4 linked regions of the Alligator mississippiensis genome follow. Each later gene encodes a partner of the first gene's protein in a complex. Links are inferred from orthologs where the notes say so. Each region holds a gene or a part of one and is shown in the gene's direction. Other genes may lie near its edges.

Region 1 (7,743 bases):
AAACTGGAGATAGGCCTGTTGAAAGTCTCTGGGTTAAGGTCAGAGGGGACAGCAACAAGAGTGACATTGTGGTGGGTGTCTATTAGGGGTGCCCCAATAGAGATTTTGGGGGCCAATACCGATAGCCAATTTTTAAGGAGGCTTATTGACCAATACTGATCCACTTTCCAATACAGTTGTGTGCAGCTGGTAAGTCTGTTGTGGGAGGGGAGGGAAGGGGCATGGCAGGGGGGCAGATCAAGGTCCCTGTGGTGAGGGAGGGAGTGGGACTGGGGCTGGGACTGGCGCTGCCCAGCCGGCATGGGGCCCAAGATGGAGCCATGGCTTGTCCAGGGGGCATGGGGTGGAGGGCAGCTCCCGCTGCTGCATGCACCCCGGGAGGGCGTGGGGTGCATATGTCCCCAGATCTGTGTGGGGCATGGGTGGGGCAGGCTGCAGCTGTGGGCTGGGGTCAGGGCTGCACCAGGTTCTTCCGGGGGGGTGGGGCTGGGCCAGGCTGTGTTTGGGATGGGTGGCGGCAGTGGTGGGAGGGGAGTTATGGGGGTGGCTGCAGCCACCCCAAATTTTGCCGTAGAAACACCTCCCCCAAAGACCTCCCAGTGCCATTGCTGCCCACCTTGAGCGTAGCCTGGCCCAACCCCTGCTTCCCTACATGCCAGAAAGAGCCCAGTGCAGCCCCAGCCTGCAGCTGCAGCCCCCTTCCCCTGCGTAGATCCAGGGGCACCTGCCCCGCCCCATGCCTTCCCAGGGTACACGCAGCAGCAGGAACGGCCCCACTCCTGCCCTGCACCCCCCAGATGAGCTGTGGCTCCATCCTGTGCCTACCCTGACCCAGCTGAGCAGCACTAACCCCTGCCACAGCCCCATGCCTTCCCTTACCACAGGGCCCTTGATCTGCACCCCCCACACCCCTTCCCTCCCCCCTCCCTTTCTACCACAACAGACTTACCAGCTGCATGCAGCTCTCCAAGTTGCTGGACTGTACTTGCTGCTTGTGTGCTGCACTGTGGCTATGCACTTACACGGGCATTTATCAGCCAAATTATTGGCCATATCAGGCCGATTTCCGATACAATCAATTTTTTTTACATCTGTGCTGATCCAATATCGGACCGATGTATCGGTGCACCTCTAGTATGTGTTATAAACCACCAGACCAGGAGGGTGAGGTGGATGAAGCCTTCTTCAGACAGCTAGTGGAAGTTTCCCAATCACAGGCTCTGGTTTTCATGGGGGACTTCAATCACCCTGACATCTGCTGGGAGGGCAATACAGCAGTGTGCAGGCAATGCAGGAAGTGTTTGGAGAGTGCTAGTGGCAACTTCCTGGTGCAAGTGTTGGAGAAGCCAACTAGAGGCCATGTTCTTCTTGACCTGCTGCTCACAAATAGGGATAAATTGACGGGGAATGCGGAAGTGGATGGCAACTTAGGTGGTAGTGACCATAAAATGATAGAGTTCAGGATCCTGAGGAAAGGAAGGAAGGAGAGCAGCAGAGTAAGGACCCTGGACTTCAGAAAAACAGACTTCGGCTTGCTTAAGGAACTGATGGGCAGGATCCCCCTGGGAGGCCAGTCTGAGTGGGGAAGGAGTCCAGGAGAGCTGGAGTTTATTTTAAATAAACCTTACTGAGGGCACAGGAATTAACCATCCTGATACACAGGAAGACTAGCAACTATGACGAAAGACCAGCTTGGCTTAGCAGGGAACTCTTCAGTGAGCTAGAACACAAAAAGAAATCTTACAAGAAGAGTATAAGAGTATTGCTTGGGCACAGAAGGATAAAATCAGGAAGGCCAAAGCACAATTGGAGTTGCAGCTAGCAAGGGGTAAGAAGGGTTTATATGAGTATGTCAGCTGCAAGAGGAAGATCAGGGAATGTGTGGGCCCCTTACTGAAGGGGGAGGAAACCTTGTGACATGATGTGGAAATGGCTGAAGTCTTCAATGCCTTTTTTTACCTCAATCTTTTACCACAAGCAAGGTCAGCTCCCAGGCTGCTGCACCTGTCAACACAGTTTGGGGAGCAGCCAACAGTGATGAAAGAACAGGTTAGGGACTATTTAGAAAAGCAGGATGTTACAAGTCCACGGGCCTGAACACAATGCACCAGAGGGTGCTAGGGGAGGGGTTGGCTAATGTGATTGCAGAACCACTGGCCATTATCTTTGAAAACATGGTGATTGGGAGAGGTCCCAGACGATTGGAAAAGGGCAAATATAGTGCCCATCTTTAAGAAAGGGAAGTAGAAGGATTCAGAGAACTACACCCTACAGCAGGGGTGGCCAGTTATTTTGGGCAGAGGGCTGTTCACTGAGTTTTGGCAAACCATCAAGGGCCACATGACAGGCAGTCAGGGGCAGATGAATATTAATTTTCTAAAATTTTTAGGGGCCCCGTGGGCTGGATAGAATGGCCTGGCGGGCTGCATTTTGCCCATTCCTGCACTACAGGGACTGAGGTGATGCCTCACCTTAGTCCCAGAAAAATCATGGAGCAGGCCCTCAAGGAATCCATTTCTAAGCACCTGGAGAAGAAGATGATTAGGAACAACCAGCATGGATTCACCACAGGCAAATCATGTCTGACCAACCTGGTTGCCTTCTCTGATGAGATGACTGGTTCTGTGGATATGGGGAGAGCAGTGGATGTGATAAAACTTGACTTCAGCATGGCTTTTGATAGGTCTCTCACAACCTTCTCACAAGCAAACCAAGAAAGTACAGGTTGGATGAATGGACTGCAAAGTGGATAGAAAACTGGCTGGATCATCAAGATCAATGGCTTGATGTCTAGTTGGCAGCTGGTATCAAGTGGAGTGTCCCAGGGATGGGTCCTCACGTTGGTTTTGTTCAATATCTTCATCAACGACCTGGAAGATGGGATGGAGTGCACCCTCAGTAAGTCTGCATATTACTTTGGTTCCAAAGAAGATGGAGCTAAACTGTTCCCAGTGGTGGTAGATGACAGAACAAGGACCAAAGGTGTCAAGTTGCAGCGAGGGAAGTTTAGGTTAGATATTAGGAAAAACTCTCATGGGGAAGGTAGTAAAGCAGTGGAACAGATTACCCAGAGAGGTGGTGGAATCTCCATACTTAGAGGTTTTTAAGACCCAGGTAGACAAAGTCTTGCCCGGGATATCTAGTTGGGGATGGTTTTGCCTGAGCAGGGCATTGGATTAGATGACCCCCTATCTTTTATAATCCTCTGAGCATCTTTGACACCCTTATGTTAGGGGAAAAATGCGAGTGGAAGAAAAATGCTTCAAAATTAAAAATGTTCCAGGCCCAATTTAAACATGAAGAATCAAAACAGGATAAAAGTCTTTACTGGCTTGAACTTGCGTTCTTAAGATTGCTTTGTGAGCTGTCTATTTAATGACCCCTACATCTGGCACAAAAGGCAAGAAGACTATTGGTGGCTTTTTCTAAATCTGATCTAATCTACAGGGTTTTTTCCTTTATGATGCTTGTGGGTTTTAAAATAGCAGTTCCACATCCCAATTTGTTCTTTCCCTTTTTTTTTTTCTCTCTCACTTTCCCAGAGTCCACCACAACATCAATCTGGTCTTTGATCTGATCTCAGAACACATTCTCAAGGAGATTCTCTTGGTGATAGTGGCTGCTGGCTCATACAACAGGAACCACAACACTAATTTCTGGGGCAAAAATTAAAGTTGGATGGAAATGAATAAAGAAATTACCACATACAACTAAGGATTCTGATAATTAAAATGGCAAGTATGTGTACAGTGCAAATGGGTGAATTTATGTTTTCCTTTGATGTTTGTACTCAGTGCCCACTAAAAGACTTTGTATGAATCAAACCAAGAGCCTCCCACTCTCAGAAATCTGAAAATGCTGGACCGTCGTATGAAACAGTTTTGAAACTGCAATAGAAAACCCAAAGCCAGCTGGGTCAAAACCAAACATGGATCTGTGTACCGCTGTGAATTTGAAGCCTTCAGCCACATCATGGTCTTGTTGGACTTTCCGTTAATTCCAAAAATTAACCTCGGAAGTGGCCAAGTTTGACCTCGGGGCTCAACACCTGAGGCTTTTACAAACTGTTGAGGCTAGCAAGCAGTTGGGCTTCCAAAGTAAGAAAGCTTTTGCAGGTTAATGAACTTGTTTTCTGGAGCTGATCATCTTGATTGCATAAAAGGATTTTAGTAACGCATCTGTTGGGTGAGAAACAGGAAAACTCCCTTAGTCATGTAGGACCTCTAGTGATCAGGCTAGTCCAAATGGAGCACCGGAGTCTGGCCCAGGGAAGAAGCAGAGGGGAAAGTCCTTTCGTTTTAGCTGGGGAGCAAGGAGTGGATGGACAGTAACATTTTAAACGAGGTGTCTGGTTTCATAGGGACTTTTGTGTCTTCTATTGACTAGCTCACCATCGCGTCCTGCTGCATTTTGAATGAACTTGCAAGTGGAGAAGAAAAAGGAGAACGTATAGGAAGAAAGAATTCAAACGTTTTCGCGGTTTGGTACACAGCTGTTCTGGGCAGGAGCTCAGTTTACAGCCCAAAGCGACCCTGCCAGGAAAAGCAAGGCAGCCCCCCCGGGGCGCCGGCTGCAGGAGGTGGCGCAGGGCCCGGGCACTGCTCGAGCTGCACGAGACGCGGGGGCAGCCGCCGCTGCAGTCATCGCCCAGGCGGCCGGAACGTTCCCTCGCGGCGCCGGCTTCCGGCGGGGCCCTGTGCCGTGGGACGCCGCCTGGCCGGAAGTGGCTGCAGCCGCGGCCTTCCGGGCAGGAGAGGCGTTTCGCAGCCCTCGGCTCCTTCCGGCCGGGCTCGCCCCGCGCGCACCCGGGCACAGCCAGGGGTCCCCCGCCGCGGGCGGGCGGGCGGCGGTGTCTTCTCAGAGCAGCCCCCGCCGCCGCCGCCGCCGCCATGGGGAAGAGGCAGCACCAGAAGGATAAGATGTGAGGGGGAGGGGCGCAGGGACCGTTGGGCTGGAGCCGTTTGGAAGGGGGGGGTAGAGGGTGGGCAGGTGATGGGGGGCGCCAGCGTAAATACTGGGGTTGGGAGTCTTGTCCCTCATAGCGGCGAAGGGGAGCACGAATCACGAATGGCACCTCTAGGTGCCAAGGACAAGCTTCATGAAGGAGCTTTCTCCACTGGACATACTTCCGAGTTGTTTTATTTGCACCACCTTTGGGAGCTTTGCTAGTGTCGGCCTTCCAGAGCGTGCAGGCTCCGGCAGCTCCGAGAGCAACGGCTGCCGGAGACCACCCGAGGAAACGCTTCAGGCCTCAGAGCACCAGTGTGGTTGTGGAGGCTCGTTGTCCCACCCGACGGGACAGCCTAGGATGCGTGCAGCGGCATGGCAGTGCTCCTGGGGCAGGCCGTGGTGCCACCGCACTTGTTGCTGCTACAGGATCACCCCAAAGTGGCACTGAGCATCGGGTGCCAGTTGTGTTGTCTCTTACGCCAGGCCAAACATCGGGGCCTCATGATGCCGACTGCCCCAGTGGGGCTATGGAGGGTGAAGAGGTGAAACCTTGGGTAGCTGAAGATATTTTATTTCTCAGAATGGCAGTCCCAGCGAATAGCAACAGTTCCTTAATATCTGCTAAACAGAGTTAGTGCTATCCCGTAATGCAGCCAGAATTGACTGTTCTCCTTTCTTCTCTTTAGGTACATAACATGTGCAGAATACACAAACTTCTATGGAGGAAAGAAAGCAGGTAAGCAACTGAATGCTGCGCTTAATTATTTCAGTGTTTACTTCTGGTGACAGTTCTTATTTTGCAGGCTTGTTCTCACTTCGCCGTTGTTCCATCTGGAGCAGTGATCCCCGCTGCCCGTGCTTCCTTCTCCTTCCATCAGCCCTCAGTAACTTCTCTCTGAATCTGCTCTAACAAGTTGAAAATATATTCCTCCTATGTATACACAGTTCAAGATTTGTCTTATCCCTTTGATGCGTCTGCTGCCTTTGACATTGATGGATGCACTCTCCTTTGCCACATCCCATCCTTGTGCTCTACGATCATATCCCCCTCCTCCTCCCCCTCTCCCCCCTGAGGTTTCATTGTTCATTTCCCATCTTATGTTCAATGTTTGTTTCTCTCTGTTGCCCTACTTTGTTAGAGTCTTTCAAGGCTTTGTTCTTAGCCTTTTCTCTTTCCCTGTATACCCTCATGCTGCTGTGCAGTTAGCTATCACCTTTTTATTGTTGCTATTCAGGTTCTTCACACTGCTCATCTCCTGTGCCTCAGTCTTGCATTTCCTTCTTTCTGTTAGACCACCCTGGATAATTCACTGCCTTTTCAACATGGGTAGATGTAAATTCCTCCTAAATCCTCTGCAATTCCCATGTTTTCATCTGTGGTTGTCTTCTTCCCAGTTATCCTAAGTTCCTGATGCCAACTGCCTGGATATCTCTCTAACTCCAACCTGTTTCTCTCTTCAAAAATCAGTCTTGTCCAAGCCTTGCCATTCTTTCCTCCTCTTACTTTCCTTTTTTTTTTGTCCTCCAACTAAATTGCTTGTCCATGGCCTGAGTGGGCATGTCTACACGCGCATTTAATTCATAGCAATAAACTCCAACACACATCGCACAGGAGTTTATTCCTCCCAGGCCTGCTGTTTGAATGTGTGCCCAGGACCTCATAAAGTTGAGCCAGACCGGAGCAGCCCTGGCTGGCATGGGGCCCAGGGGGGTCATTCTGCCAGCCTGGGCCTGCTCCCATCTGGCTCAACATGCTGCAGAGGGGCAGGCTGGAGCACAAGTATGCTCCAGTGTGGGGCTAGCCAGTAGGCAGCCCCTGCACTAAAGCACCTTCATGCCCTAGCCAGCCGGGTCAGCATCTACAGATGCATTGTTGCTTACAAAAAAACTGCAGCAGGATAGTACCTGTATTTACAAGTACTAACCTGCTGTGGAGTTCAGTAGTTTCCTGCAGCCTAATAGGCCACACATGTAGACACCAAGACATTTGCTGTGGAGCTAATTGAGCAACTCCACAGTAAACATCTTGTGTAGACATGCCCAGTATCTCCCATCTACAAGTATCTTCTCCTATTCCAAAATGTCCTCACCTCAACCACATCACCCCCATATTCCAATTTTGGCTTTCTTTACTGATTTTATGTTCTCTGTTAATTTTTTTTTTCACTCTTGACATTGAGCCCTGTTTCTGCTTTCCTCTGCTTATTGTAGCCATCTTTGCAAGTAATATCAGTAGAAAGGCCTCTTTTTGTATCTTTTTTCACAGACATTTCTCTCCTTTTCTTCTGGCTACCACTTGTGTTTGGAATGTCCTCTCCAAACTTGTATACATAGTGAATCTGATAGCATTTGGTATATTGTCAATTTCAGTGTTTCTTCTTAATAATAAGTCAACTTCTTTTGGTCTTTGGGTTTTTAAAACAGCAACAAGGGGGAGTGAGTTTAAAAATGAGGTAACATGGTACAAAACCACAAACAAATGGAAAGGGAATAAAGATAAATCTGGAGCTATTTGAAATGTTGGGCTTTATTCATTTGCATACTGTCCTTTTTAGAGCACACTTGAAGTTCCAAAGATATTGATGTACAAAGTGTTGGCTTTTGTTTATAGTTTTGCAGGATTTGGAATGATTATTTTTGTTACCTATGAATTATTACCAGATGTACCAAATACTGTGGCTTCCAAACATGTATCATGTAGGGTTGATTAAAAATGTCTGAAGAACTGTTAAATATTCAAATGACTGTTTATTCAGAAAAAAAAAATGTTTTATGTTTTTTGCAAACAGATAT
Region 2 (7,064 bases), on another chromosome or scaffold:
CACCTCCCCCACTTCCCCTTCACTACCCAGACAAACCCCCCATTCCCCTTCCCTGATCCCTGCCCATTCCATGTCCCCCCTCCTCCATCAATATCCCCACTCCCTCTAGTACCTGGGGTTGTAGGGGGTGGGAACCCCCAATCTTAGACCTCACATCAGTATCAGGCCCATTCAAGTCACTGGTGGAGGAGCCTGTGGTGGGGAGGGAAGAATAAGGTGGTGTGTGGGTGTTTGTGTGCACACCCCATCATGGGTGTGTGTGCATGTGTGTACCCCAACATGCTCCTTTCCCACCTTCATACCACGCCCAGCATGCTGGGGGTGCCTGCCCCACCCTGTCAGGAACCCCTCCCCAAAACCCCAGTCCCACCCTCACTCAATATCTGCTCCCTCCAGGCCCCTAGAAATAATTACATGTCCAGCCCCATAGCAAAGCTTAGGTACAGGCAACCATGGTAGTGTTCAGAGGGGCAGGAGCTATTAGGCCCTGAGTGGCTGCAAGTCCCTCCCAAAACCAAGCCAAACAGACTGACCTTGGCTGAAGGGACCCAGGGGCAGACAGGTGGTGCCAGGCAGCAGCTGATAACAGCTAGGGGTGAGGAGTTAACCCCTTAGGCACCAGACAACCCCTGCTCTCACTCACCAGTGCGGGGGCAGGGCCTGGTTGCCACACCAGTGCCCCCTGGGGGATGAGGCCTGCAGAGGGTACTGAGCAGGATGTCCTGGGGTTCAGGCCCCACAAAGCTGGTCACAGCAAGTTCCTCAGCACCCCCTGAGCCCAGGCAGTGGGGGCCAGCAGCTGACCATGGGGGCAGGTTCCTGGGGCCTGGGGGAGAAAGTAGGGGTTAGTGGAGTAAGGGACCCTCAGAGATACCTCTACAGCCATCTTGCCCCTCTCCTGCTCTAGGGCCTGTCCCTGCCCAGGTTTAACTCCACTCCTTGCCCCTCCCCTACAGCCTTAGCCCCACCCCACAGTCCTCCCACACCCACATGACCCTCTCCCACCCCCTACCCCAATACCCTCGCCCTCTTAGCCCTACTCCCATGCATTTCCCTTAGTTTTAACTCCTCCATCAAACCCCATGCCCTGGCCCCAGGCTTAGTCCCTTCCCCACCCCACTGCCCCTCCCCCAACCTTAGCCTCCCCCGTGCCCCTCCTCCAGCCTTAGCTCTTCCTCTAACCAAATACCCTTCCCCTTACTTTAGTCCCTCCCCATCCTTCATCACCCAATGCCCCATCCCTTAATCTTAAACTCTCCCCCAACCCTTAGCCCCCTGAATCTCCTCCCTCACCCCAATTCCCTGCCACTAGCTTTAGACCCATCCCTATGCCCTGCTCACAGCCCTCGCACTCCTCACCCCTTATCCCTATGCCCCCGCACCTATTACCCTCCCTCATTGCCCCCAGCTCCTGACCTGGGCACTGAACGAACAGCAGGCCACTGCCAGTCTCATTTGCCTTGCCCAGCAGGGGGCAGCACTGGGGGTCCCAGATCTGTCCCCCCTGAGTGCCCCCTGCCCTGATGCCAGTGACCCCTGGGGAGTGGTGGGGCAGGGGCACAGGCAGGTGCCAACCCCCTCCCCCACCTCCTTGCTTGTGGTCCTGCCCCCCAGGCAGGGGTGGGGGCAGCAGGCTAATAGGGAAGGTGAGTGGAGCACCCCTTGGTGGCTGTATTGCAGTACCCAGCTCCCGTCCACCACCACCACCACATTCACTGCAGGGTGGAGAGCCAGGTGTTAATGAGACATGGCTGCCAACACCCCCCCCCCGCCCCCAGTTTCCCTGGGGGGAGAACCATGGCCCTGTACAGCATTCCCAAGTGACCTGGGAAGTATATTTAGTCCCACACGCCCCCAAGCTGTAGCTGGAACTGCCTGAAGAGGGAAATGTAGCCCTAAATAGTGCACCCTGATGCCCCAGAGGGGAGATACAGCCCTACATAGCACCCCGCCTAAGTGGCCTGGAAGGGGAGATACAACCCTATATTGTACCCTTGAATGCCACAGTGGGGGAGATGCAACACTGCACAGTATCCCCTAGTGGCCTGGAGGCAAAATGCAGCTCTGAACATTGGAGGGGGTGGGGGAAGAATCTGGCCATGTACAGCATCCTCCAGTGGCCTGGAGGGGGATATACAGGCCTATACAGCACTCCCTACTTCAGCAGATCCCAAACTGTGAGTTGTGATCCCAAATAGGGTCGCAACATTAGTAGATGGGGTTGCAGCGTGGCATTCTCTCCCAGGTCCTGTCTGCCGGGCTGCAGAGGCCTGGGGGAAAGGCAGCAGGGCAGCGAGCCCCAAGCCCACAGCCCACATCCTCCCACCCCCATGGGCTCTACTCTGGCTGTACCACCTGTGGGGTCAGGGACAGGGGTGGAGGGCAGGGAGCCGGGCTTCATGCTCTGGCCTTAGCAGCTGCTGCTTCCTTCAGGTGGTAGACAGAACTCAGGCACTGCTAAGGTGAGGGCCCTGTCCCTGGGGCACCTGGGGAGAGTGGGGGGCTGCAGATGGGGAATGAGGAGCACCAGCAAAGCCAGGGAGCTGTGGGTCAGGATTGAGGGGCACCCAAGGGGGGGGTGTGCTGTGAGTTGAGAGTGAGGGGCCATGATGAGGAAATGGGGTCATGCTGAGGAAATGTTTGGGAAGCACTGCCCTAGTGGCTTAGAAGAGAAGATATAGCCCCACACAGCTTCCCCCATGGCCTGGATAAAGAGATCTATGGTAACCCCTAATGGCCTGGGGAGAAAATACAGCTCCATACGGCATCCCCTAGTAGCTTAAAGAGGGAGATACAGCTCTGCATGTCACCTCCTAGTGATCTGGAGGGGGACTATAGTCCCAGAGTGTCATCCATTGCTCCAGGTTATCAGAGCCCCACATGATGCCCCCTGCTGCCACTCCTGGTCCCCTACACTTACCTCCTGTAGTTGTGATCGACCCTGCCATGGGAACTCTGACCTCTGGGGGGCTCCACGGGGTGCTGCAGCTGTGGGGAAGGGGTAGATAAAAATTCTCCTCCCTCCCAATCTGCAGCCCCGCACATCAGCTCTATGGTGCCTCCCATTCCTGTCCTGGAACCTCTGCACCATAGCCCTGGGGTGCCCATCACTCCTGCCCTGTGACACCTGCCCCTCAGTGACTCACCTGATTCCATAGGCCTCACCCCTCTCTGAGCCCCAGTTATGGGGCTGAGGTCTGGGACCCCCCATGGTGCAATTGGGGGCCTTCTGTTAGAGCCCCAAGATGAGTGTTGGGTGGGGGAGTCTTCTTGGGAGTCCCTGTAGGCCTTTAGAGTGGAAGGAGAAAAAAAAGTGTTCAGATACAGCCAGATCTGGGGTGAAGAGCATAAGCAAGCCGCATTTTACCCCCTACAGCCCTGCCCCCAGCTCTGGTGAGGCCACCCTCCCCACAGTGCTCCTCACTCCTGACCCACAGCCCCTTCCATCACTCCCAATTTGCAGTCCCCCAACTTTGACAATCCAAGTCCAACCAGCAGGTTATCCTATCCCATCTGCCATAGGCCAGTGGTGGTGGTGGGGGGAGGGGGGGGGAAGCCTTGGGATCAGCCCTGTGCAAAAGCCCTCCATCTCCATCCCCTGCTGGGTACCCAGGCTGCAGGCAGTGGGGTGGGGGGGGTTGCCAAGGCAACAGGGCCGCTGCCCAGGTAACCGTCCTCTTGCCCCCTGTGGCTAGGCTGCTAGGGAGGGTGGAGTTTTTTGGAGGGATGGATACTTAGGTGGCAGGGCAGCTAATCCGTGCTCATCCCAAAATGAAAGGAAGTGAGGGGCGGGGGGTGGTCTGGTGACTAAACAAAATGGGTCTGGGAGCTAGGACACCTGGTTTCTCTCCCTAGCCCTCTCCCAGCTCCCCCTCCCCAAAGCTGGAGGGGTGGGGGAGCAGTTATCAGGGCAGTTGGGACCTGTAGGCTACTCCAGTGCATGCTGGTAACTCTAGCCTGGAGCCCCAATGCATGCTGTCTATGTATTACGTCAAAGATCCCACCGCATGATGGGAGATTCAGGCAACCCTTCCTGTCTCTTCGAAATGCCTGTTAGTAGAGGGGGACTCCAACTCCCATGATTCCGTGTACCGCAAACCCCAGGCGAGGCAATGATGGCCGCGGTGAGTCGGCTGTACCGCTCTCATGATACTTTTCGGTGGCGTTTCCGGGCGCGACTAGAGGGCCGTGGCTCTGAGAGGACTACAATTCCCATGAAACCTTACTGCGTCCAGTTAGGGCCAGCTCCGAGGATGAGACTACGACTCCCATGATGTCCTGCGGCAGCGACTGCGGGTGCGGCAAGATGGCGGCGCCAGCGGCTGGTGGAGCGGGACCAGTGTCGTTCGGGTTTACACGCACCGCCGCTGGGCGGAGGCGGCTGCCCGGTCCCGAGTCGGGACCCTGCGCGGAGCCTGACGCCACCGAACACGTGCCGGAACCAGACTTCGTGCGCGCTATGGAGGACCGGGAGCTCCAGAGGTATCCCTGGGGGCGGGGTAGAGAAGCGGAATGGCGCATGCGCGAGCTGTATTGACCATGAACACAGGAGGAAGGAGAAGAGGCTGGGTGTCTTTGGACGCATGCTTAATGTGGAAGCTTAGGTTGCCCCAAGTGCTTGCCTCGCAGAGGGGTTACATCAGAACGCGTGCACCGAGGAAAAAGTCGGTGTGCACTGGGCATCTGAGCCATGGTGCGTACAGTGCATGCCTGCAGAGGGGAAAGGGCGTGTACACTTAGGGCAGGGGGCGGGGTAAGGAAGAGGGGCAGGCTGGAGGCGTGGGTTGGGGAAGGGGCGTGGCCCCAGAGAGCAGGGGTTGGAATTAAGATAAGGGGCTGGTCAGTAGATGAGGGGGTCGGCCTCTGTGGGGTTATAGGGTTTTGGGGCATGGTCATCTGGGGAGGTTGTGGGGCATTGAGGTGTGGCTACTGGGGAGGGGATCTTGATGGAGGGGGCAGGGCCTAGGAAGTGCAAAGGAGCATGGTTAAATCCCTTCTCCGCCTCTTGAAGGCTCAGATCAAGTGTAGTGGAGGTGGGGGCATGTGCAGAGAAAGGGCTGGGGCCTCAGGCTGTGAGGGGTGGGGCATCAGAAAGCTGTCTCCCCACAGTGTCTGCCTGGCCCCACGGCCCCCCTCAGCACTTGTCATTCCCCTGATCCGGACGAACCAGTGGAAGCGGCCAGCGGGCGAGGCTTCTCCAGACCCTGTTGGCGGGGACAGGGTTGAGGGTCAGGCCATTCGGGAGATCATTGAGGGTGAGTGGGCATCGGGAACCCAGGTGTCTGGGCTTGCCATCATTCCCAGCCTGATGCTTGAGCAGAGAGAGAACCCACACGTACAGTCTCCCCACCCCTTCATGCTTTTTCTTATTCTGTATTTGTTCATTCTAATTACCAGAAATGGGGGAGAACCCAGGTGTCCAGGGTGCTAGATGTGGCCCCTTCCCCTTCCCGCTTCCCCCCAAAAAGTGCTAATTTTGTCAACTAAAGGCTCCCCTTGCATTGGCCCACTCAAAAGCAGAACCCAAATGTCCAGACTCCCCACCACCCCAGATGCCCTGCCAGAGCTGGGGGAGAACTCATGTGTCCAGGTTCCCAGCCCCCACTCCTCCCAGAGAACCCAGATACCTGGGTTCCCAGTCTTCCCTGCTCTAAATGCCTAGCTCCATCTCCCTCCCAAAGAATCCATGCATCTAGCTCTGATACTTCCCCTGTACCTTGCAGAGTCACAGCGGGTGCTGGAAGTTTGGGAGGCTGGTGCTGAGGCTTCCCTGGCTCGAACCATTCCCATGCTAGTCCAGAACAGGGTACTTAGTGGCTACGAGGACAGCGACCATGTGGACGTCAGTCTGCGCCCTGAGTCGGTAAGGGAATCTCCAGGTTCAGCTCTGTATTTCCCCCACCCACCTCCTGCCCCCAGCTGGCCCATGCAGGGGCAGAACCCAGGTATCCCAGCTCATGAACTCCCAGTTCCCACTCCCAATCTAAAGAACCCAGGTGTCAGGGCTCTGAGGTCCCCCGGCTGTAACCCCATCCAGCCATTACTCCACTTCTAGAGAACCCAGGTGTTTGGCTCTGATCCCTTCCTGCCCCCCAGCTCAGCTGGCCCAATATCCCCCCTCTCTGCCCCTGGTGCCAGGTGACCCACGCAGGGGCAGAATCCACATGTCTAGGTTTCTGACACTGCTCCCTGCTCTAACTCCACTTCCAGAGAACCCAGGTGTCCAGGCTCCTAGACTCTCCCTGACTACCCTCCCTGGCTCCCACTTCCCTCTCAGAGAACCCAGGTGTCCAACTCTGACCTCTCCCTTTCCCCCTCCCTCAGGCCCAGCTGGCCTTGCATCCCTCACACTCCTTGCCTCCAGCTGCCTCATGCAGGGGGAGAGCTCGCACTTCTGGGCCCCAGCTCCCAGAGAACTCCCTCCTCCCCACAGAATCCCCACCCCAGTGGGCTGATGTATCCCTTTTGCCCCCTAGGCCACAGAGGCAGATTATGAAGAGGTGCCAGTGGAGGCCTATGGTCTGGCCATGCTGCGGGGGATGGGTTGGAAGGAGGGCGAGGGCATCGGCCATACCTTCAAGCAGTGAGTGACCCTGGGGGCAAAGGTCGTGGCAGTTGGGAAGGTCAAGGGTCAGAGGGGAGGGAGCAGGGCAACGAGGGGTACAGCATGGTGTTGGAGGGTTGTGGGTACAATCAGAGATCAAGGTGGGATATGGTAGAGAGGATTGTGAGTATGGTCAGAGGCTGCCCTGTGACATCAAAGGTCAAACTGGGGGATGCCAGAGAGAATTTTGGGTACAACCACTTTCCGAGGTCCAGAAGTGACCCTGGGGAGAAGGTCAGGAAGGGACGATGTGTAGAATCTTCTTTCTGCTTCTGGGGTTGAAGTTCAGGGGAACTGTCTGGGTGGGATCAGAAGTCATAGTGTGGGGGAGGAGTGCACAGGGGTCAGTACCATGGGATGCACTAGGGGTGCCATGTAATCCCTTCTTGTCCCATCCTTCCCCCAGGGCTGTGAAGCCACTAGAACATGAGTTGCGTCCCAAGGGACTGGGCCTGGGGGC
Region 3 (7,107 bases), on another chromosome or scaffold:
GAAGAGGAAGGATGCTACTGATGACAACACAAGAAGTACGTTCTGAACCAAGCCAAGCAAACACTTGCTACCCTAGGAACCCAGGTGATGAGCCTGCACCGCTCCAGCCTCCGTGCTGCTTATGATCCATAGTGCCTGGAAGCCCCAAGACAATGCAGTGATGCTTCCCACGTGGATTTTGGTTCTGTTGCTGTTGAAAGACAGGGTTGGAAAGACAAGTATGTGGTGACTCACTCGTGGGATACGTTCAGACCTGAGCTGCTCTCCTTCCTGGGCTGCTAGTGGAAGGAAGCACAAGCTGAATTGAGATGTGCGGCACAAGCACCTATCTGAAAGCTCAGCACGGTTCTAGTGTGCACCAGGCAGAAGGGTTTGCTCCTGCTACCCTTCCTTATCTGGAAACCAAAGGACTAAAGGAATGTCACTTTACGATTTGTTCCCTATTACAGCGTCTTTTCTAAGGTTCTTTGCAACAAGAATCCTCCTGACCCGCAAACATACAGCAAGGCCTCTCTTGCCAGTGATGCCTAGCACCCAGTTCCCGCTGCCTGCTGTTACTTGGGTGAGGTCTTGGATAAGGATGGAAGAAAAGGCTCTATTGTGCCAAAAGACAGGGGTTTCATCCTTCTGGCAACTGTTCTCTTTACCGTGTCTCTTGGTGCAAAGAGAACTGTCAAGGTGTCAGACCAATAGCAAAGAAAGTCACCCTGTGGTCCTGGTTTGACTTCGTGGGACATCCTGTTCTGTTTTTAAACGGCTTTGAGGGAGCAGTGCATTCTCAGCAACTTGGTATTTTCTGCTCACAGCCACCTAAGGTAACTCTCAAGTCAGGTGCATGCAGGAACTTGGTCCTTGAGGAACTATCAGTGTTCAAGTGCAAACTCTAAGATCACCTAAAGATCTGTAAGCCTAAACTGTCTCTGCATCTCAGCCCCAGCTGGGCCTAATGTGTTCCCCACTCAGCCAACTGATCACCAGAAGGCTGGGCTCACTCGAGCTACTATTGCGATCGTCTTCCTCCTACAGAAGCGCGGGGAGGTTTGAGGGTTCAGCGAAAGCACAATGTTAGTGTCAGTTAAATTGGAACTTGGGCTTTTTTTATTTATAAGAAAGTGAAACAAAGACGCAAACAATATTTCCGTGTCTCCCTATCTTCCCACCACCACTTGCAGGTGGGAGTGGGGGTCTCTTTACTGACCTTCAGCTGCTGATTGGTTCGTTTCAAGAACTGGACCTCCTCACCATGCTTCTTCTCCTCTACCTGCCGCCTTTCAATTTCACGTTTTTCAACAGCTTCACATTTAGCTTTTTGCTCATTCACTTGTCTTTCCAGCTCTCTCTTCTCCTCTTCCAACTCTGCAATCTTTGAAATGAACACAGATCTTGCTTGCATTCATTGTTACACTTTGGGAGTACAATTAAGACACAGCTGTGTGTTTAACACTCTATGCGGCAATATAAATATTATATTATAAATAGGCCGGGGGGGGGGAGAAAAAGGTTTGTTTGGATGAGCTTTACTGCCATCCAGTGGAACCAGAAAAAACTGAATTGAGTGGAAAATTGAAATAACACGTTTATCTGTGAAATGGGAAAGTGACTCAAATGTAAGAAATGGGGATTCATAGATTCATAGATGTTAGGGTCAGAAGGGACCTCAACAGATCATCGAGTCCGACCCCCTGCATAGGCAGGAAAGAGTGCTGGGTCTAGATGACCCCAGCTAGATACTCGTCTAACCTCCTCTTGAAGACCCCCAGGGTAGGGGAGAGCACCACCTCCCTTGGGAGCCCGTTTTAAAACACCTGTCAGACTGCTCTAACACCTACGGCAGAATGTGATCTACCGAGCCTGAAAGACCGGGTACAAAGGTTAGCTCATTTCTCCCCGTGCAGAAAGGAGCACGCGGGAGCGAGCAGCCCCAATTACCTTTTTCTCCATATCTGCTTTGCCTTGCTCAGCCTGTAACGCCTTTCTCATGCCAAAGGCAACGCTGCTCTCGTACAGGGTCTGGTAGGCAGCAATGGTCATTCGGATTTCATCTCGGACCCGATGCAGCAACATTCCCCGCTCTATGCAGTTAATGGTAACTTCACGGATAAGTTCGTCTTTAAGCAAAAAAGGGCGGAAGTGAAGATGAGAGGGGGAAACGGATGTGGGCATCAGGAAAAACAAGGGCCTGAAGCAGCCCCCTGCCAAAGTTCCCACAAGAACTATAACGACACGGAGGCTTCTGAGGTCAGCGATTAGGCCTGAAGCTTCTTACTGGTAAAAAATGAACAGATCATCGGTAACAATCGGCACTCTCCCTACCCCTATGGCTGGTGCCTTCCCACAGTGTCCCGTGCTGGGCTGTGGCAGGCAGAGGACTAGCACGGTGTCACTGAAACGTTTAGCAAACTGCCTGGATTCATCTGTGAGTTACTGCAGCATCAGAGCGATGGGTCTGAATAAGTCTTTCGCTACCAAGCGAATCTGAAACAAACCCTGCCGATGCCCTGCTGCCACAGTAACGTCCTTGTAGAGCTTGCTTGTTCTAGCAGTACACCTGCGCGCCTGGGACCGACCCGAGACCCACAGGTGCCCCTACACGCAGTAGATGGTAATAACCTCTGTTCCCAACTGGCCGAGGCTGGACCACAGCCCACAGTATTACTGGGAGATCTCCATTTGCCATTCCCCCGAGCTCGTCTACTCGGCCACTTCCAGTGTTTTGCTCTCAGTCCCATGTGCCTTTGGCTCGTGCTGCTAGGGATCGGGAGAGCTCACTGACCGAAGCACTGCGAGTACAGCTCCCTGCGGACGGGGCAGATCCCGGTTTCTCGAGCCTGTCTTTGCTGCAGCTTGAGGTCCAGCTCTTCCTGCAGATGCAGCACGTCCATCCGTGTGCTGGGTGTACACGACACTTGCTGGATCCAGAGCTGATTGTCTTCCACCCATTCTCTGCACCACAAAACCAGCACGGATTTCATTATTAGACATTCATCGCCGCCTTTACAGCCCCGTCGCTGTAAGAGCGCTGGCCGCGACCAGCGACCGCTCGGGACCTGCCTCTGCAGGGGATTTAACCAAGCAGATCTCCGAGCAAATGGGAAGTGCTCGTTTCACGAGCGCCTCGGGGTTGTTCAGACGGCCGTGGCGTCCGCCCGGGGATGTGTGCTGCCCGGGGCAGTGGCCGGAGAAGGGCCGCGGATGCAAAGATCACAGGAGCGATCGGGCGAGAAACGCTTCGTGCGGCCGACGCGGGCCGGGCCGCAGGAACGACTGGCCGCGAGCCGGGTCACGCGCCGGGGCGCGGGGCGGCGACCCCCCCGCCCCTCCCCCCGGGGCCGTCCTCACCGCGGGGGCAGGATCGCGTTCAGCACCTCCTCCGTCTGCTGCTTCGCCTGCTCCGCCGCCGCGCACGGAGACCGCGCCTTGGGCGGGGGCGGCACCGGGCCTGGCACCGCCGCCGGCTGCGACAGCGTCTTCAGCGCCCGCGCCTGCCGACCCCGCCGCACGGGACGGGACGTGAGCTGCGACCGTGCCCCCGGCTGGGCCTGGCCCCCCCGACCTCCCCCAACCCCCCCCCCCCCACGCTCAATCCCTGCACACCCAGACCGCCCCTCCCCCTCGTGCTCACCCCCCTGCCCCCCCATACTCACCCCCTGGACCCGCCGACCTCCCTCTGCCCCCCAGCCCTCCCCTGTGCTCCCCCCACCCCCATGCACGCCCACCTTGGGGGAGCGCTTGTCGGCGTTGCGGGTGACGAGCGCGGGGGTCTCGTAGCGCACGAGCGAGTCGGGCGGGGGGATCATGGCGGCGGCCCCAGGCCCCGGCGCTGTGTACGGTCACCATGGCAACCCGCCCACCCGCCAGCCGGGACGCGTCGCAACGCCTCGGCGCCGTGACGTCAGCACGCTGAGAGGGAGGAGAGGGCGCATGCGCAATGCGGCCCTGTCCGCACGTGCTACACCTGGCGCTGTTCTCGGGGGGGGGGGGGGGGAACGCGCCCTCCCCTCCTCTGCCCTCCCCGGCGGCGCGAGGGCGGGCCCTGAGGCAGGGCCGCGGGGCGGGGCCTGGCTCCCCGGAAGCGCCGTGCAGGGGTAGGTCAAGCGGGAGCACTTCCGGGTCGGCGGGGATCCCTGGAAGCGGAAGTGGGCCATTGCTGCCGTTCACCTCCGGAAGCGGAAGTGTGAAGGCAGCATCCGGATGCGGCGCGGTGCCTAGGCCCGGCCCGGCCGCAGCCATGGAGGCGGCGGAGCTGGAGCGGGGCCGCAAGAAGCGGCGGCGGGAGGAGCCGCGGAGCCCCCGGCGCGCCCGCTCGGCCCGCGGCAGCCAGTCCCCGCCGGCCGACGAGGGGCGCGGCCCGCACCAGGCCGCCCGCAGCCGCGACAGGGCCAGCAGGTACCCCTCCCCCCCCCCGGAGAGGCAGCTGTGGCTACGGAGGCCGCAAAGGCGTTTCCCGCGTGTTTCGCGAGAGCAGGTCCACGCCGGGGGGGTTGGGGGGACGGGACACCGGGGCCGCGGGACGTGTTTCACTTCCTGTCGCCTCGTCCGTGTTTTCCCGACCGGACACAGCCCTGCCCTCCTTCCTCGGCCGGCCGGCCGTCTGTCCGCCCGTCGCGTAGCGATCAGCAGCGCGGCACCGTGCCGATCCACGTCTCCCCGACTCCGACCGGTTTAAAACGATCCCATCTCGAGCACCCCCCGCGCGCCTCTCTCACGTCAAGGCGTTACAATAAACCTGTCGGCGGTGACGGCTGGCGGGGGTCTCCGCGCCGCGGACGAGGAGCCGCTGGTCTCGGTCGTGCTTTAAAATGTTTAATTGTGGAGAGGGGTGTCGGCGGGGAGGGGTGTCAGTGGAGCGCTGGGAGGGGGCCGGCATCTCCCGGCGGCTACAAACCCTGTCCCGGCTCCCAGGCGAGCTGTACCCGCTCCGTTCGCTCTGGTGCCCAGGTCGCTCCTTGGCGTTGGCAGCTTTTCCTCCCTCTGAGGTTGACACTCGCGGCGGATTGCAGGCCGTCGTCGCGTCCCCTCGTGGCCGTGGCCGTGGCCGTGCCAGGCGACACGTGCCGCAGCTTTCCAGCCCCCAGGGTTTGCCCGAGTCCGTCCCCATCCGCGCCCCGGTGCGGATGCGCTTTTCGGGAGTGCTTGACCCCGCCTGGCAGGTGAGGCTTTGTGGTCGCGTGAAATCTCCGTTTCGACTGAAAGTGCCTCGTTTGAGAGAGACGTTTACGGTCGCCTTTTTCGCGGCCGCCTCGGCAGCTTCGTGGTCCTGCGCTTGCCTCGTCCACCTGCCTCTCTCCTCTGCTCTGAAGCCTCCAGCTTGTTAACGTCCATTTTACTAGGTCAAGCTTCAATCGCTGCTTAACCGCTGCACAAACGTACTTTGTCTCTGCGTGACGTGGGCCAGACAGCTCAGTTGTGTCGTGTTTTGTTCTGCTTTGTTAAGATCACCGGGCAAAAGAAAAAATAAATCCTCCAGTCGAAGAAGCAAGTCTCCTCGCAATCGAAGAAGCAGAAGCCCTCATCATGTTGTGGTCAAAGTAAAGCAGGTAATATATTTAACGGGGAGGTCCTGATCCTGCTTGTTACTTTGGCTATAACCTGTTGAAACCCCAGGGGTCCTGTGCAGCCATACAGAGCAGGTGTGCGGGTTAATTTGTAGCAGCAGGATCTGAAGAAGGTGGGGCGACTAGTTTCTTACTTGATAACCACGGTTTTTTTCATAGATTGTAAAGTCGGAGGGACCTCGGCAGACCATCGGGTCCAGTCCCCTGCACCAGGCAGGAAAGACACCTGGGGGTCAGGTGATAGTTTGATCGTTCGTAAGTTTAGAGTGTAGTTATCTTGCAGCAATGGGCAAAAGTACAGCCAGCTCCATCACAAACTCTGCCTCGAATGTTTGAGCGCTTGCAGGGATTACCTGTTAATCTGGCCTCTGTCACTCATGCAGCCTCGCCCTTTAAGCTGGTCCAGTTCCCCAGAATAGTGTTGACACTGGGGGAGGGGTGTACAGCACAGCGCAGCGTGTAGCGTGTTGAATTGGGGCCTCTCGGCAGCAATAGAAAGTAGTAGGATGCTTCCAAACAGGCATGTGCTTGCTCTTCTAAAGGAGATCCTTCCCTCTCCTGTCCTGTTGATTAAATCACTAATCATTTAAAACTGGAATTGCAGAACAGTGGCATTTGTGTGGGACCCAAGATTTGGTGCATTGGGAAATGAGGTGATTCACGAACAGATTCTCTCAAAGTTGTTGGTGTATTAGGATAGTAGGAAAATTTGTGCTACTGAGTTTTGGGTGGGGAGTAAGACGATGAGCCAGAAGATCTCCGAAGGAGTCGTCATTTCTGCAAGTGTCTGTAGTGTGGAAAGGAAAAGGAATAAGGAAATTTGAGAGTGTTTCTAAGTGTTGTGTTAGTACATATCAGCAGTAGAGTAACACTTGTTAAATTTGGCTGAATTAGTGTTTTACCATGTGTGGAAGTGACAGAGCTGTTTGTTATCTAGTACTTTATTGTGAGACTTCAAACTGTGCTGGCCAACGATACTTTTTGCCCTCTGCGTACGCAGCACCTAACATGATGGCACCTGAATCATTTTTGAGTTACACTAAGACAGAACAGCTAAGAATTAAGGAACTTCTGATTTTAGAGTAAAATCATTTAAAACCAATTCTGCCTGTGTTTCATTTCTGAAACTTGAGTTCACAATTATTTATTCAGTGATCATTCAGTCAGTCATGTTATCAAAACTTAATTCAGCAAAAGTCTGTATACAGCGTGTGTTGAGTCTGTATGTTTTCTCATATTAAATTGTGATTTGTTTTTCTAAAGACTAAACAACATTCCCTGCCTTTTCTTTCTCCCTTAATTCTGAATAGGTCACTCTAATGTCTTTTTGTTCCAGGAGCGAGATGATCATTCCCGCAGAGGACACGACGAACGAAAGCACAGAGACCAGCCCGAACAGGAACACAGACGAGAGCGAGACAGACACAGAGACCATTCGGACAGAAGGAAAAATTCCAGTGAAAGGCCTGGAGGTCGAGGTCACGAGAGAGAGAGGGATTCCCAGAACCTCCGTGAGCAGCAAGCAGAGAGGGAATTTAACGATGAGAGAAGA
Region 4 (7,875 bases), on another chromosome or scaffold:
AAATAAAATTATTCCAGTCAAACAAGGCCTGTTCCAATTAGACAAATGGACTTTATCTAATCAGATTTCTGATTGTCTAACCAGTCTTGCATTTGTCTAACCAAAGATCTAAAAGAAATCTTAAAAGAAACTTAAAAATTTATTTCTGGACTTTCCAGGCAGCACTTTTTAATGACTGCAACCTTTGCAACAGCTCTACGAGAAGTTTGCAATGATTCAGCAAAGGGAGTTTAAGCCATTTTCAGTAGACTTCAGAAAACGTTCCTTTTGGTAAAAGTTACCAAGATTCTTGAGTCAAGAGGCTCTCTCAAAATTCTTTTTCTTACAGTTTTAAAAATGTTTTTATTTCTTCATTTCTATTCATTTAATCTTAATTTCTAGTGGTGTTTTCAAAACACTGATCTTTTAATATTATATATCAACCGAAAATGAGACAGAATGAATTAAGCATGTCCATGAAATATCTGGCTTCAATTAAGAAAAGAACATAGGCATGTCCTTCAGTCTTGCCCTACTATTGGGGATCAATGAGACTTAAACATGTACATCAAAGTGTTCTTGAATAACGATAAACTTGGTGTCTGTGACAAATTTTCCATTAGGTTCAGTAAGGGTATTCACATGAGGAAATTTGAAGGCTGTCATAAATTGACGGCTATCATAATTCCAAAGAGCAACCACATGTGATTAGAAGAAATAATGTAAAGAAAAATGTGAAACCTACATTTATGGGAATGGAGGTATCATAGGAAAGTAGTGCTAGAAGGGGCCTCACAAAGTCTCTTCCCTCAGCCCTGTGCTCAAGGTGGGATCTTCCCTGACTAAAGCAGCCCAGCCAAGTGTTGGTCTAATTGACTTTTGAAAACTTCCCAAGGATAGAGGTTCCACAATTTTTCTAGGTAGCCTGTTCCAATGCTTGACCACCCTCATAGTCAAAAAGTTCCTAAATCTCACCTGGTGAGGTCTGAATCCATTGCTCCTAGTTCTGTCCCCTACAGTCACAGAGAAAAGCCCATCTCTACCCTCTATAATAGCTCTTTAGGACAGCACAAGTACTTTCAAACTGGTATTTGAAGACTGTTATTAAATCCCGCTCTCAGTCTTCTCTTCTCCAGACTAAATACCTCTGGCCCTGTCAGCCTTTCTTTGTAAGTCTTACTTCCCAGACGGCTAATAATTTTTGGTGCTCTCTACCAGACTCTTTCCAATCTGTCCATGTCCTTCTTGAAGTGCAGAGCTCAGAACAGGATGCAGTATTCCAGGTGAGGCCTCACCAGTGCTAATTACAGCATAAAAACCACTTCCCTTGGTTTGCAAGTGACACTCCTGTTAACACAACCCAGTATGCTTTTAGGTTTTTTTGGCAACAAGAGCACGCTTTTGGCTTGTATTCAGCTTCCGGTTTACTGTAACCTTCATATCCTCTGCCATACTACAGTCCAGCCAACCATTCCACAGCCACTCATTTTCCTTGGAGGCACAATATCTTTAAAGATATCATGGAACTCAAAGACACAGTTTTAAGACTAACTTAAGCAGCTACATACTACTGCACATCCAGAGGCAGGCTTCAGTCTAAATAAATGAAACATTTGTAAAGGGTTATCAAGCTACTGATGCTAAAAACTAGGAAAGGCCCAAGTAAAACACAGAAGAGGCAGCAACTATCTGAAAAGGAAGAGAGAAAAGTACAACAATGTGTAGCCAATAAAAATTGATCTAAAGTGCCACTGTTACATCTTCTTTATGACTGCCTTGTGGCTCTGTCAATCCTGCCTCTCAACTCCAGTTTTTCTTTTACTCCCACAAGCATGCCCCCATACCAATTCCTATGCTTTCTATTCCTTGGACTGTCCAACATGATCCTTCCTGCATGTCACACAGCCTCTCAATCTTCCCTCAAACATATCCTCTTAGCCCATCTTTACTCACAGAACAATGTTTAGAACATATCAGGAAATGAGTTCTGTACCACCCAAACATTCCACAATGTCTCTTGTATATTCCTTCTTCCTAACAACCTTTTAACTTTATTTCTTTCTTCAAATTCTTTGTCTAAAAATCTGTCTGTTTAGACTTTGTTTTACGGGTGTGTGCGCGTGGGTGTGTACTGTATACTTATCATTTGTCCCGGTGAACTTATTTGGTCCATTAACTGCATTAAATAGAAATATACGTACAGTTCCTTGGGACAAAAAAATTAATCGAAAGTAGTAATCCTGGCCCATATCAGATGGCTTAACTGAAAAATGAAGCCTAGTTTTTTTTTTTTTAAATCAACCTCCTACATTCACTTTATTGTCAGATAGATTTTTTTTGTTTTATTTATCCTGTGTCTGATAGATTCCACTTTAAATGATGAAAAACATGATGCATTTTGTCCAACAAGGTTTCATTTTGCATCTCCTCTGTTATGCTTTCCTACACACAATTTGCTGGCTGGCTGAGAAAGCAAGTGACCAAAATGGTCAACTCCATTCAGGTTGGAATTGCGGGACTTAGAAAAAAGCAAAAAAACCAAACCCCCCACCATTTCCTCCTGCTATTTTCATAGAAAGTTTTCTGAACTCGTACCAGCTGGCTTGGTTCAGTTTAGAAAGGACAAAGCCAGCAGTTAGAGTTCCTGTAATACACAGCTCTACAACACAGCCCTCATCCCCTCCCACTCCTTTTACTTAGCAGTGTGAAAAAACATTTGGATTGAAATGGACCGGTTCCATTCCCATGACTGTTTTCTTCTGGACTTGGGGAATTTTGCTGAAAACAGGAAAATGTTAAGAAGATTTATTTCAAGGTTACTGATGCTGCTTTCTAGCAAAAGTGCACACACTTTTTTTTTTTTTTTTTTTTTTATATATAATCGACTCTTGAATGAGTCTCCTCGTCCCTTTAATCTTGTGAGGAAATTGAATCGCATCTTTTCCTTGAAATGTTTTCCTATTATTAATATCTGTGGGTGACACAAAGGGTTTGTCCAGACCTTGACAGTGTATGCTGCATTTTCCCTGCAACCTTCTTGTATTCTACAGGGAGGGGAAGGGGCTACATCCTACACTGAACTGGACTCTCTTCAGGTACAAGTCTCTACCTATAGCAGCAGTGCTTGGCAACATTGTCTTTAGATACAAAATTACTGTATTGGAAGCTCAAAAATTATCATATTTGCTGAAAAAAACTAACGTACACTGAAAAAATATGCAAACAAGTCTTCTTTGTATTTACTTTATATTGCTCACTGTAAATCACCAGTGAGTGACAACTGGGTCATCAAAGTTGAAGCCTTTCTTTATTTCAAGGCAAGCTGCCATAAGAAATTGCTGACAGCAAACCCAAAAGTCAGTTAAGACTAGAGTTACCATACATCTGTTTTTTTCTGGACATGTCCTCTTTTTGAGTCCTCCCATCTCTGTCTAGATGGTTTTTCTAAATATCAACAATGTCTGGGATTTGGGATTTTGCTCTGTTCAGCACTGAAGCTGTCCCTGGCACTGGGCTGCAAAGGACAGGGGAGATGCCTGCTGCTCCAGCAGTGGAAGGGAGAGGGGAAGGGGCAGCAGGGAGCTATGGGGCCAGCCAGGGTGCTGTGGGTCTGGAGTGAGGGAAAGTGGTAGGGCTGGAGGGGTGGGGGGTAAGGGGGCTGCAGGTTGAAAGTGAGAGGATCCCAGCAGGGCGGGGGATAGGGGGCTGCAGGCTGGGAGTGAGGGACATGGTGGGGGGGAGAACAAGGGACTGTGGGTCAGGACTGCAGGGAACAGACAGTGCCAGGGGACTGCGAGTCAGGAGTGAGGGGCATCAGCCGGGACAGGGTGGGGGGAGCTGTGGGTTGGGACTGAGGAACAGCAACATGGTCTGAGGGAGGGGGACTGTGGGTTGTGAGTGAGGGGCAGAACCAGGGCACAGGCATATCACTGCCCCCCCGACAGGCATCCTCTTTTTTGAAACAGGAAATATGGTAATCCTAGATAAGACTCTCTGAGAGGGGCCTGGGCTTGGCATATGCTGCATCAACTGTCTCAAAAGTGATCAGGGATGTATCAGGTAGCTATGCTGGTCTGAGACAAAAAGAAATGCAAAACTCGAGAACTCGGTTCAGAGATGACACCTTTTATTAGAACAACTAAGAAATCGCAAGAGAATGGTTGAGGTATCACCTCGGAACCAAGAGTTCTCGAGTTCTGCAGTTCAAAACTGATCGTACATGTTGAGCACTTGGACTATTACCCATCTCACATCCTACAAGGGACGAAAGTATCGTACAACTATAATAATCCTCGTCCCCCCGGCCACGACCTCCCGCCCCCGGGGGCTGGGCGGAGGCTGCGGGGCCAGATCCTGCGGCGGGGCTGGTGCCCGTGCCCCACACCCGCGGGAGCCCGGCGGGCAGTGACGTCACGAGGTGAGGGAGCGCTGCTGTCACCATGGCAGCTGGGGCGGACTGCGCGTATCCCACAATCCCTGCCGAGGTCCGCCCCCGCAGGCCGCGGATTGAGCCGACCCGTACCTGCTGCAGGCGGAGGCGGGCGGCCAACGCCGCGGGCAGGTGCAGGAAGCAGTCCCGGCTGCCGCACACGGCGACGGTCACCGCTGCGCCGCCGGGGCCGCCGCTGCCCCACATGCTGGCGGCCCCGCTCCGCTGCAGGCGGCCTGGGCCGGGCCGGGCCGGACCGAACTCTCGGGGTTGACGCTACGCGCAGCTCCCCCGTCCGCTGGTAGACGACGAAGTCCAGGTCTCTAGCAAGCCGCACCCCTCCCCGCCCGCACACATTGGTACGGCCCATCGCAGGCCAATGGGGTTGCGCCTCCCACTCGCTCCCTCTCTTTCATTGGCTCTCACTCCAGTCCGGTGATGCGGCAGGTCTCCTCCGGCCTGATGACGATTCCCCCCAGAGCCAATGAAGGGAAATCAATAGCTCCACCCTTCCCTGATTGGCTGCTGTTGGCAAGCCGCCCGGCGCAGGAGGGGAGGGTAGAGGCGGAAGATGGCGGCGGCGACGGGCGCCGAGGTCGGGGGCGCGTGCGGGCATCACGCTCAGCGGGACGTCTGCGCCTCGCGCGCCAAGTACCGCGAGGGCCGCCGGCCGCGCGCCGTGAAGGTGGGAGCGGCGGTGCGCGGGTCAACCTGGGTTGCGCATGCGCAACGCCCCATAGCGCCGCCCTTCGGGCAGCGGCGGCGACGGGCTGGGAAGGGAGAGGACGCGGGTGGATTCGCGCCACCCTTCCCCCCCCCCCAGTTTCCGGCCTGGTGCTCTCTTATTGCACTCACTGTATGGCTGGCAGGTGTTAGATGAACTTTTGGGCATGGCGCACCCTTCAGGTGATCCAGAAGTCTCTGTGTAGGAAAGCCTCTGACATTTCCAGCTATATGGTTAGTCCGATAGAAGATGTCAACCGAAAACCCATGTTACTTTTCACACCTTTCCTGGACTGTCATGGCTGCAACAAAACTCCAGCCCTATTACAAGAAAGATTTGGGACTCTTTCTTTGTCAACACCACTTTAATTGGCCAGAACAGTGACTTCTTAGGGTTGCAGTGAGCTCTACCAGGAATTGGTAGCCTTTTGCTGACAGCAACACAAATGAATGCAGCCAGGGAGTCATAACTCCTTAATTTGACCAGCCATTGCCCACTGGAGTCAGGACAGTTACCTCAACTTGCCCAAGACATGGCATGTGCTGCATGGCATGCTACTGCCTAAGCTGTTTGCGGGCAGGCTGCCTGCCAGGGCTTCTAGGAGATGCCTGCCCCTTGGCTACATGTTGCAGAAGCAGCTGGCGTGAGTTTTCTGTGTGCTTGGCTCATTCCTCCTTGGGAAATGTGGGATCAGAGGGTCTGCAGAGATCTGCTGTGTGGGAGCCCAGGGGGAGGGAAAGGAGGCGAGCAATGAGCAGGCAGCTGGTTTTTGGCAGGCCAGATAAAATCTTGCAGGCTGAATCTGGTTTGTGGACTATAGGTTGTCAACCTTTGTACAATATAAAACAGGGGTGGTCCAACCTTTTTGAATGTGGGGCCGGATCACAAACTTTTTATCACCCAGTGGGCTGGCAAGCCATATTCAAAGACCTCACAGGAAGTGGTATCACATCAGGAAGTGATATCACGTGACCTTTGACACCAATGAAGTTGCAGGAAGTGACAATGAAATAGGTTTAAATAACCAGTTCAAAACTCTCCCTCTATAGCATCCACCTCTGCCACTGTTTGGGGCAGGATATTGAGCTAGATGGACCATGGGGCTGACCACGCATGGTGCTTTTTATGCTCTTATGTTCAGAAGCTCTTATGTTCTTTGGCTGAGTTTCCAAACTATGGCTGAGATTTGCAAAAAGGGGTAGATAGGCATGTTACAAAGTTGTCATAAAAGATTTGGAGCCCTCTAAATCCCATTAATTTTAATGGAAGTTGGCCTTTTGACTCAGCTTTGAAAATCTCAGCCCAAGGTGCCAACCAAATAAGTTAAAATTTATTTTTCACTTCTATGCAGTGCGTCTATGTGGGGCTCTCCAAGCATTTTACAAACATGAAATGAACCTCAGGATGAGCCCAGCCAGAGGAGCAGGGGCTCAGCTGCACTTTCCCCCTACCTGCGCTGGTCAGTCTGGAGTGGCACATGGCTCCGCCGCCACTTCTGCTGGTTGGTGCTGACCCAGGCGGGTCTGTCCCATCTGGAGCAGCACGCAGCTGAAGCTGGCTTCCCATGTGCCACTGGGGATGGGAGGAGCCCGGCCGGGTTGGCACCAGCCAGCAGAAGTGGCTGCGGAGCTGTGTGCCGCTCGGGACTGGCAGGCGCAGGCAGGGGGGAAATGCATCTGAACCCCTGTTGCTCCAGCCGGGCTCGTCCCGTCCTGAGCGACACACGGCTCTGCCGCCGTTTCTGCTGGCCGGTGCTGTCCCAGCCGGGCTCCTCCCATCCCCAGTAGCATGTGGGAAGCTAGCTTCAGCTGCATGCTGCTTTTTCTGGCCGGTGGCTGGGTCCATCCCACCTGGAGCAGCATGCGGCTGAAGCCAGGTTCCCATGTGCTGCTGGGGATGGGAGGAGCCCGGCCGGGTCTGCACCAGCCAGCAGAAGCGGCAGCAGAGCCATGTGCCACTCGGGATGGGACGAGCTTGGCTGGAGTGGCAGGGGCTCAGCTGCATTTCCCCCTGCCTGCACCTGTCAGTCCTGAGTGGCATACGGCTCCGCTGCCGCTTCTGCTGGTTGACAAATGCCCATGTGTGCGTGCAGCTGCAGCACAGCATGCAGGCAGTGAGGAGCACAGCCCGACAGCTTGGAGAGCTGTGTGCAGCTGGTAAGTCTATTGTGGTGGAGGGCATGGCGGGCGGGACGTGTGCCCCCTGTATCAGGGTGGAACAAAGCAGGCTGCAGTTGCAGGCTAGGGCCATGGGCCGCAGGGAGGGCTGGGCTGGGCTGCACTCGGTGGATATGCAGTGGCGGCGCTGGGAGGGAGGGGTATGGGGGCTACAGAGAAATTTGGGGTGGCTGGAGCCCCCTGCCAGTGCCGCAACCTGCCTCAAGCACAGTGTGACCCAACCCCCCACCCACCAGGAGGAGCCTGGTGCAGGCCTCAGCCCACAGCTGCAGCCTGAGCTGCTCCCCTTCCCCAACCCCCCTCCGCCCCCTGACAAGCTGCAGCTCCGTCCTGTGCCCACCCTACCCTGGCTGGGCAGTACGTACCCCAGCCCCACTTCCTCCCTCACCGCGGGGGGGCATTGATCTGCCCCCACATGCCCCTTCCGCCTGTCCCCTCCCCATCTGGATGCAGCTGTATCGGAAATCGGATCGGTATCGGCTGACATACCTCCTTAAAAATTGGCTATAGGTATCAGCCCCCAAAATCTTTATCAGTGCACCTCTAAAAAAATTGTCAATTTTTGG

What was found.
Region 2: PPIL2 (region 1) and GPKOW share a complex: the UniProt entries of both Homo sapiens proteins name them as parts of the minor spliceosome. The link is inferred for Alligator mississippiensis from reciprocal best matches to the Homo sapiens genes PPIL2 and GPKOW.
Region 3: PPIL2 (region 1) and SNIP1 share a complex: the UniProt entries of both Homo sapiens proteins name them as parts of the minor spliceosome. The link is inferred for Alligator mississippiensis from reciprocal best matches to the Homo sapiens genes PPIL2 and SNIP1.
Region 4: PPIL2 (region 1) and RBM48 share a complex: the UniProt entries of both Homo sapiens proteins name them as parts of the minor spliceosome. The link is inferred for Alligator mississippiensis from reciprocal best matches to the Homo sapiens genes PPIL2 and RBM48.

The regions. Positions count from the first base shown.
Region 1 is NC_081833.1:14,803,140-14,810,882, forward strand, and holds the start of PPIL2 (RING-type E3 ubiquitin-protein ligase PPIL2), read left to right. Parts: upstream 1-4,739; 5' UTR 4,740-4,889; coding exon 4,890-4,921; intron 4,922-5,636; coding exon 5,637-5,686; intron 5,687-7,739; coding exon 7,740-7,743. UniProt on the Homo sapiens protein: Has a ubiquitin-protein ligase activity acting as an E3 ubiquitin protein ligase or as an ubiquitin-ubiquitin ligase promoting elongation of ubiquitin chains on substrates.
Region 2 is NC_081831.1:28,334,573-28,341,636, reverse strand, and holds the start of GPKOW (G-patch domain and KOW motifs-containing protein), read left to right. Parts: upstream 1-4,050; 5' UTR 4,051-4,078; coding exon 4,079-4,124; intron 4,125-4,226; exon of another isoform or gene 4,227-4,235; coding exon 4,236-4,482; intron 4,483-5,109; coding exon 5,110-5,255; intron 5,256-5,723; coding exon 5,724-5,863; intron 5,864-6,476; coding exon 6,477-6,583; intron 6,584-7,010; coding exon 7,011-7,064. UniProt on the Homo sapiens protein: RNA-binding protein involved in pre-mRNA splicing. As a component of the minor spliceosome, involved in the splicing of U12-type introns in pre-mRNAs.
Region 3 is NC_081829.1:913,322-920,428, reverse strand, and holds the start of SNIP1 (smad nuclear-interacting protein 1), read left to right. Parts: upstream 1-4,102; 5' UTR 4,103-4,228; coding exon 4,229-4,386; intron 4,387-5,434; coding exon 5,435-5,537; intron 5,538-6,891; coding exon 6,892-7,107. Other genes in the region: DNALI1 (axonemal dynein light intermediate polypeptide 1), read right to left, coding at 1,199-1,363, 1,930-2,108, 2,774-2,943, 3,340-3,482, 3,717-3,797. UniProt on the Homo sapiens protein: Required for pre-mRNA splicing as component of the spliceosome. As a component of the minor spliceosome, involved in the splicing of U12-type introns in pre-mRNAs. Down-regulates NF-kappa-B signaling by competing with RELA for CREBBP/EP300 binding.
Region 4 is NC_081828.1:175,536,477-175,544,351, reverse strand, and holds the start of RBM48 (RNA-binding protein 48), read left to right. Parts: upstream 1-4,864; 5' UTR 4,865-4,979; coding exon 4,980-5,093; intron 5,094-7,508; exon of another isoform or gene 7,509-7,875. Other genes in the region: peroxisomal ATPase PEX1, read right to left, coding at 4,502-4,615. UniProt on the Homo sapiens protein: As a component of the minor spliceosome, involved in the splicing of U12-type introns in pre-mRNAs.